2 linked regions of the Saccharomyces cerevisiae S288C genome follow. The protein of the gene in region 1 binds, or shares a complex with, the protein of each later gene. Each region holds a gene or a part of one and is shown on either strand. Other genes may lie near its edges. The genes, in order: CET1 and CEG1. A codon is read from its position in the direction of its gene.

Region 1 (3,990 bases):
CAAAAATGATAAGATGCAATTGCAAGAAAAAATCCCTTGCATAAAGGGCTTTCTGACCTCTTGCGTTGATCAACGAGAAATAACCGCAAAACTTAATTTTAAACTCCCGCGTCTGCTTTACACAGCCCACAGTAGCATCAAAAACTACGATGTAACACTAACGGTGGATTGTGAATACGGAACGAACAATCCTGCATCTTGACTTCAAAACTTGATCATATACACCTATACCGCCATGGTTATCTCGCCCTTACGCTCACCCGGACCCCCGTTAATTGCAATAATAAGAAAAAGAAAAGAAAGAAGCTTTTTATCTCATTTCACTGACAAGATGACGCTTTTTCCGATTTTAGCAGATAAACTATCACATATAACCACTTTTTTATATTACATGAAATGATGCCCTACAACACCCCTCCAAATATCCAAGAACCTATGAACTTCGCAAGCAGCAACCCCTTTGGTATTATTCCAGATGCGCTCAGTTTCCAGAATTTCAAATATGATCGTCTTCAGCAGCAGCAACAGCAGCAGCAACAGCAGCAACAAAATCGCACTGCGTCATCGTTACAGCAGCCGCAACAGCAACAACCAATAAGCCCGCCTTTGTTTTTAGTAGGGGCCGGTACCAGCGAAAACTCAAACCTTAACAAGAATGCCAACACTAGTACTATCCCTCCTTTACTCTTTAGCAGATCGTCTCAGCATTATGTTGTCCCAGATATAGACCACTCCTCCATAATATACAAGAACAACATCTGCAAATCTTTCAAAGATGACTTATTTTTCTGTCCAAGATCTTTACTTTCTCTCGAAGAACAACAAGCATGCGAGAAAATGGATAGGCTGACCGCTGAACAAATGTCATTGTATCATCAGAACACGCAATCCAGTTCTAATCCTGGTTCTATGTCTTCTTCACCTCCAAATTCTGCTTCTTCTATATTCAACTCTAGGCCGAAGTTCAATCCTTATACATCTCAAAGTTTTAATCCTTTGGAAAGTGTTCAAGAATGATCGCGATATGGACAAACACGTTGTTTTGATTTCTTTTTTGCATATTCCTCATTTGAACAAATCTTGTGTCCATGTTATGTTACGTTATGTTATATTATGTCAAGCCGTTTCATTTCCTACTTATTTTTAATTATCGGTTTCTTCTATTCATGTAGTTCACTATTCAATTAGTATATGTAGATAAAAGGAGAAGGGTTTTATCTGCAAACAGACGCAAGACGTATGTACTAAGCACTAAATACTCATATAACCATATTCTTTCAAAAATACATGCCATTTTTCTGTTTCATAATAATCCTGGAGGCTACAAGTATGGTGATATAATAAATCTTGAACCTTGTTTTACTGGAACTCCTAAAGTCAAGCCATACATAATGCCAGAAACAGGACCTGCGTAGATAACATATAACATGTACCAGTCATGATTACCCAACGTGCCGTTACAAATGATATATAGACCTACATTTTAGTTAGTTTCGTCGTAAGTTATGGTAATAAAGGAAAAGTCCTCTAATGAATCTATAATATAGGTTCACACAAATAAGAGTGATAATTAAAAGCGTATTCGACACTGAAAGATCTGCTGGGAATACTATACTGATATTTCCAAAATATCCCTTATAAATTGAATCTGGAATAGCACTTCTTTTTTTAAAAAACCTTGAATTGTTGGTAGCATTTCTATCCTCCCACTATGAGTTACACTGACAACCCTCCTCAAACAAAAAGAGCTTTATCGTTAGACGATCTGGTGAATCACGATGAAAATGAAAAGGTTAAATTACAAAAATTAAGTGAGGCGGCTAATGGCAGCAGACCTTTTGCCGAAAATTTAGAATCTGATATAAATCAAACGGAAACGGGCCAAGCTGCTCCGATTGACAATTACAAGGAGAGTACTGGTCATGGCTCGCACTCACAAAAACCTAAATCACGCAAGTCATCTAATGATGATGAAGAAACCGATACGGATGACGAAATGGGTGCAAGTGGAGAAATTAATTTTGATTCAGAAATGGACTTTGACTATGATAAACAACATAGAAATTTACTATCCAACGGATCACCTCCTATGAATGATGGTAGTGATGCCAATGCGAAGTTAGAAAAGCCTTCTGATGATTCAATTCATCAGAATAGCAAGAGTGATGAAGAACAGAGAATACCGAAACAAGGTAATGAAGGGAACATTGCCAGCAACTATATAACCCAAGTACCTCTGCAAAAGCAGAAGCAAACTGAGAAGAAGATAGCGGGAAATGCAGTAGGAAGCGTGGTCAAGAAGGAAGAAGAAGCGAATGCAGCTGTAGATAATATTTTTGAAGAGAAAGCTACTTTACAATCAAAAAAGAATAATATCAAGAGAGATTTGGAGGTTCTGAATGAAATATCTGCGTCTTCCAAGCCCAGTAAGTACAGGAATGTTCCAATTTGGGCACAAAAATGGAAACCTACTATCAAAGCTCTTCAAAGTATAAATGTGAAAGATCTCAAAATTGACCCATCTTTTTTAAACATTATTCCCGATGATGACTTAACAAAGTCAGTACAGGACTGGGTTTATGCTACAATATACTCAATTGCTCCTGAACTAAGATCCTTCATTGAGTTAGAAATGAAATTTGGTGTTATTATTGATGCGAAAGGCCCAGATCGTGTAAATCCACCAGTTTCTTCACAATGTGTTTTCACTGAGCTTGATGCCCATCTAACGCCTAATATTGATGCATCTTTGTTCAAAGAGTTGAGCAAATATATTCGTGGTATTAGCGAAGTCACTGAAAATACAGGTAAATTCAGTATTATTGAATCCCAGACAAGAGATTCCGTCTATAGAGTCGGACTATCCACGCAAAGACCAAGGTTTTTGAGAATGAGTACAGATATTAAGACTGGGAGGGTAGGACAATTTATAGAGAAAAGACATGTAGCCCAACTACTATTATATTCACCAAAAGATAGTTACGACGTTAAAATCTCCCTAAACTTGGAATTACCTGTACCTGACAACGATCCGCCAGAAAAATATAAATCTCAAAGCCCAATTAGTGAAAGGACGAAAGACCGTGTTAGTTACATTCATAATGATTCCTGTACCAGAATTGATATTACAAAAGTCGAAAATCATAACCAAAATTCAAAAAGTAGACAATCAGAGACCACTCACGAAGTGGAACTAGAAATCAACACGCCTGCACTGTTAAACGCCTTTGATAACATAACGAACGATAGTAAAGAATATGCATCTCTTATTAGAACGTTTCTGAATAATGGTACAATTATTAGAAGAAAGTTATCGTCTTTATCATATGAAATTTTTGAAGGTTCAAAGAAAGTCATGTAATATTTGAATCATTTCAAAAAAAAATAAGCAAATGCCCTTGAGCGAGAAATTTTTTTTGTTTACTCAAATGCTGTTATGAAAGCTTATGTAATAATAATAATAATGATAATAATAACATAAAAATAATTACTCTAACATTTCTTATTATCTCTATATATCCCTAATAAATAGGCCATTCTTATAATAACCAAGTCTTTCGCCATTTTGATACTATCAATAGCTAAAGCCATCTTAGAGCCATCAACCTCATGCCAGGAAATTGGTATCTCCTCAATTTGGATTCTTTTTCTGATGGCTAAGATCAAAATTTCAACGTCAAAGATCCAACCCTCTGTATGCAAATACGGAAAAATTTTCAATATAGCGGCTCTGTTGAACAATTTGAATCCACATTGTGTGTCTTTGATAGACCTGATGCCGAAGATGAAAACTAAGGTATGGAAACCGTACATCAAGCAGTTTCTTATCATTGATCTCTTTATGACGGCTTCGGTATTTACCATATGTGCTCTGGAACCAATTGCTACTGCTGGTTTAGTCGTTTTTAGATCTGTACTAGACGTTTCAATTTTGCTAATAGCATCTATTAGTTTTTCTACATCACTGAACTTACTAGCACCATCAGCATC
Region 2 (4,203 bases), on another chromosome or scaffold:
ATCAAAAGAAGAATCATCTATATACTTTGTCTCTACGTCATTTTCATGATTAGCGATTTCTTTTTTTCTTTTATTCTTTGATAACTTACTCAATTTCCCTCTCACGGTAAGGCCTCTTTCAGTCTTTTTCCAATTGTAATAAAATCTAACAATCATCGACATAGGTTGAGTGCCCACATACTCACACACTGGGCGTAATTCACTCCCAAATTTCTCGACAGCTTCCTCAAACTTTCGGATCTCCACGGCGGTAAAACTTGGCTCTTTCAAAAATTTTCTGGAAAGCTCCCTTTTACATTTTTTAAATGCCTCTGCTGTATCATAATTTGTAAATAATAAATTCTTTAGGACTACATCAATGAAATTACAAGTCTCACCTCTCACATTGAGAATAGGGCATATTTCGCTTTTGCATTGTTCAATATATTCACTCAATTTTCGAGTAGTAATTTTTGATGCATCAAGTACCCATGCTAGTTCCGAAGTTTTCGTTGAGCCTCGCTCTTCTTCTGAATTTGCACTTATATACGAGTTCCGCCTCCAGGGCACATTATGATTACATCCGTTCCATTGATACTTCACTCCTACCCTAGAGGGTTTGAAAGGATATGGAAAAAACATAGAATCATTTAATGCGTCACCAATATGAGAAATGGAATATATTCCTAAGTATTGAAACCAGCAATTTTCGGTATTATAACCAACATTCTCTTTGATAGCTTTGCTAGAAATTTCTTCAATTTTTTGTCTTACAGAGCGAATAAAATCCAGTTCCAGTGCTTGTTCTTCTAGAAACCTAACATGCGAGTCCTTAGTACCTTGTTGTTTCTGTAAGCAACTGAAGCAGGTCCAAACGACGTCTTTGTTCGGCTTCCTGTCAAGTGGCGGATCCATACAGTATAGATGTGCACAAACGCCGCATTCATCACATGAAAGGCTCTCCTTTTGGATACACCATTCTTTACAGAACTGACATCTTTTATCCCATTGGTAGTCTGCAGGACTTAATTCGTTTACCTCTAGTTCATGGAAAACGTATTTCTTCAAAACGTTCTCCAATGGATACTTCGGTTCTGTATAGATATAACGAAATCTCCTATTCAAAACATAAAGAAATGGCGACTTACTGTTCCATTTATTTAATATTTTATCCGTGCTGTAAACTTTGTAATATTTCAAAGTATATCTGTCAAAAAGTTCATCAAAGTAAAAGATATTGGGTCGTATAATGCATTCCTTCTCATTAGGAAGAACATCAAAAACTTCGTCTTTATGAAATATACTACATTTTCCCCTGTATGATGAAATAGGACATATGTCCTGGTGTAATGATGCATACACCAACCTTGGGTTAAAAGTATTTACGTGCTCTTGAATATCCCTAGGACGATAAAACCAATTCATTCTAACTTGAAAAAATTTAGCAGGGAAGACCGATGTTGTCTTTATAGCTTCATGAATAGTGTTAGAAAATTCTGGTTTACTAACAAAATTTACAACTCTGCCAACATAATAAGGCTCGCCAGCAGGCTCTGATATCATATAAATAGTGTCGTTCGCAGATAAAAGGACAGATTCTGTATTGAAAAGAGACATCTTTTTCAAGTCAATCATGGCATCATCTAGATCAAGTATGTTAGAGAATCTGCTATTCTTTCTGAACGAAGGGGGTAATGTAGGGATAAAGTTCCAGCAAGTATTCTTATCATGAAGGAATTTTTGGTACTTGAATTTCTCGTTTCTACTAGCTGGATTGCTTGTCCTTTTACAATTCCTGGGAGTTTGGCTATTGCTACCCTTGGTCTTAGCACCACTTTTTTCCGCTATTTGTATTTGTTGAACTAATTTAGTATCTATTTCCATTTCATTATAATTCACGTTTTTAGCAGCCTCTCTTCTTCTAGGTAATTGGAAATCTTCTTCTTTAGGCATAGCGTGACCAGCTGAAAGGCAGATGATCTCAATATGTCCCGATAGGCCAATTTTGCCACCAGATAGTTCGATGGCATTTTATTTTTAGTCCTTTTGAAAGCAATATCATAAAATATATATAGTTCTCCATGATGTTCGGGTCAGTCGCTCCGAAGCGTAACCTAGTATAATAAATAGTTCATTGCAGAAAATAACGAAAGAAATGGTGGAATACGATCTGTTATATCTAAACTAAAGCTAACTAACGGAATAAGCAAATACGAATCGACCGCTAATTTAACAAATATGGTTTTAGCAATGGAAAGTAGAGTGGCACCGGAAATTCCTGGGCTCATTCAACCTGGGAATGTCACGCAAGACTTGAAGATGATGGTCTGTAAATTATTGAATTCCCCAAAACCTACGAAAACATTCCCTGGTTCCCAGCCTGTGTCCTTTCAGCATTCTGATGTGGAAGAGAAGCTGCTTGCGCATGATTACTACGTTTGTGAGAAAACAGATGGTCTGCGGGTGTTGATGTTTATAGTGATAAATCCTGTGACGGGTGAGCAAGGATGCTTTATGATTGATAGGGAAAATAACTATTATCTGGTTAATGGATTTAGGTTTCCCAGATTACCCCAAAAGAAGAAAGAAGAGCTGCTAGAGACTCTTCAAGATGGCACCTTATTAGATGGTGAACTTGTCATACAAACTAACCCAATGACAAAATTACAAGAGTTGCGTTATTTAATGTTCGATTGTCTTGCTATCAATGGTAGATGTCTCACACAATCACCAACAAGTTCTAGACTAGCCCACCTTGGAAAAGAATTTTTTAAACCATACTTCGATTTAAGAGCAGCGTACCCTAATCGTTGTACTACTTTTCCGTTCAAAATTTCCATGAAACATATGGATTTCAGTTACCAATTAGTAAAAGTTGCTAAAAGTTTAGATAAACTACCACATCTTTCTGATGGTCTGATATTTACTCCTGTGAAGGCACCTTACACTGCCGGCGGAAAAGATTCATTGTTATTAAAATGGAAGCCAGAACAAGAAAACACCGTGGACTTCAAATTGATTTTAGATATCCCAATGGTGGAGGATCCTTCTTTGCCTAAAGATGATCGGAACAGGTGGTATTACAATTATGACGTTAAGCCAGTTTTCAGCTTATATGTCTGGCAAGGCGGAGCTGATGTCAATTCACGTTTAAAACATTTCGACCAGCCTTTCGATAGGAAGGAATTTGAAATATTAGAAAGAACATACAGAAAATTTGCAGAGTTGAGCGTTTCAGATGAGGAATGGCAAAATTTGAAGAACCTAGAACAGCCATTAAATGGTAGAATAGTAGAGTGCGCAAAAAACCAAGAGACTGGGGCGTGGGAAATGTTAAGATTCAGGGATGATAAGTTAAATGGTAATCATACATCGGTGGTCCAGAAAGTTTTGGAGAGTATCAACGATTCAGTTTCATTGGAGGACCTCGAGGAAATTGTTGGTGATATTAAAAGGTGCTGGGACGAGAGAAGAGCAAATATGGCTGGTGGTAGTGGGAGACCACTACCGTCTCAAAGTCAAAATGCGACATTATCTACCTCTAAGCCAGTCCATTCACAGCCCCCAAGTAATGATAAGGAGCCAAAATATGTAGACGAGGATGATTGGTCGGATTAGGCTAAGAAGTGTTCGTATCGACATATATCGGTGTAAGAATTTTGTGTATGAATAAGATAGAAAAGCAAAAGCAATTGCTTTTGCTAAATTAATTCAGTTAGTTATCTATTTATATGTACATGAGAAATGGGAGAATTTTGAGAAGCGAGGGTGAAAGTGTTATATACGCATATACATGTATATATATGCGCATGCTTATCACCTATGGGAAAGGACTAAACTTTTCAATAATTCTCTTGGGTTACCGTTACCACTTAGGAAATATTTTTCGTCAATCAAGTTCTCCCACTTTTTTCCTGTGATATCCTTGTCTAATAAAACATTTGATTGTTTGTAGTAATCGATTAGTTCGTTAACTTCCTGTTTGTTCAGTTTAGGAACCTCGAATTCGGTGACATTACCTTTTTGGAGCAATTCTACGAACTTCGGTTCATAGTGATATCTAGTAACATAGGGGTCTACTGGGATCTTGCCCAATGCCACGGGTAAAGTTTTGTTTGTCCTGTCAACGCCGGATATAGCTAATATAGTAGAACTCTCACCATTAGCAAATTTCGTCTCTCCTGAAATAATGTCCATCATCAATTTACCCATTTGTAAATCCAG

What was found.
Region 2: the proteins of CET1 (region 1) and CEG1 are in contact, whole or in part, in a crystal structure (PDB 3KYH), measured with the Saccharomyces cerevisiae proteins. Residues at the interface, in NP_015096.1 of Saccharomyces cerevisiae: Ile246 (codon at 2,447), Trp247 (codon at 2,450), Ala248 (codon at 2,453), Gln249 (codon at 2,456), Lys250 (codon at 2,459), Trp251 (codon at 2,462), Lys252 (codon at 2,465), Pro253 (codon at 2,468), Thr254 (codon at 2,471), Lys256 (codon at 2,477), Ala257 (codon at 2,480), Ser260 (codon at 2,489), Ile261 (codon at 2,492); in NP_011385.3 of Saccharomyces cerevisiae: Leu262 (codon at 3,001), Trp295 (codon at 3,100), Val301 (codon at 3,118), Arg304 (codon at 3,127), His307 (codon at 3,136), Phe308 (codon at 3,139), Gln310 (codon at 3,145), Pro311 (codon at 3,148), Phe312 (codon at 3,151), Asp313 (codon at 3,154), Glu316 (codon at 3,163), Trp337 (codon at 3,226), Leu340 (codon at 3,235), Lys341 (codon at 3,238), Glu344 (codon at 3,247), Gln345 (codon at 3,250), Pro346 (codon at 3,253), Leu347 (codon at 3,256), Asn348 (codon at 3,259), Gly349 (codon at 3,262), Arg350 (codon at 3,265), Asp370 (codon at 3,325), Asp371 (codon at 3,328), Lys372 (codon at 3,331), Leu373 (codon at 3,334), Asn374 (codon at 3,337).

The regions. Positions count from the first base shown.
Region 1 is NC_001148.4:116,671-120,660, forward strand, and holds CET1 (polynucleotide 5'-phosphatase), read left to right. Parts: upstream 1-1,711; coding exon 1,712-3,361; downstream 3,362-3,990. Other genes in the region: YPL229W (uncharacterized protein), read left to right, coding at 397-1,017; ALG5 (dolichyl-phosphate beta-glucosyltransferase), read right to left, coding at 3,493-3,990. UniProt on the Saccharomyces cerevisiae protein: First step of mRNA capping. Converts the 5'-triphosphate end of a nascent mRNA chain into a diphosphate end.
Region 2 is NC_001139.9:263,928-268,130, forward strand, and holds CEG1 (mRNA guanylyltransferase), read left to right. Parts: upstream 1-2,217; coding exon 2,218-3,597; downstream 3,598-4,203. Other genes in the region: DNA-binding E3 ubiquitin-protein ligase SNT2, read right to left, coding at 1-1,932; mitochondrial 37S ribosomal protein mS29 RSM23, read right to left, coding at 3,796-4,203. UniProt on the Saccharomyces cerevisiae protein: Second step of mRNA capping. Transfer of the GMP moiety of GTP to the 5'-diphosphate terminus of RNA via a covalent enzyme-GMP reaction intermediate.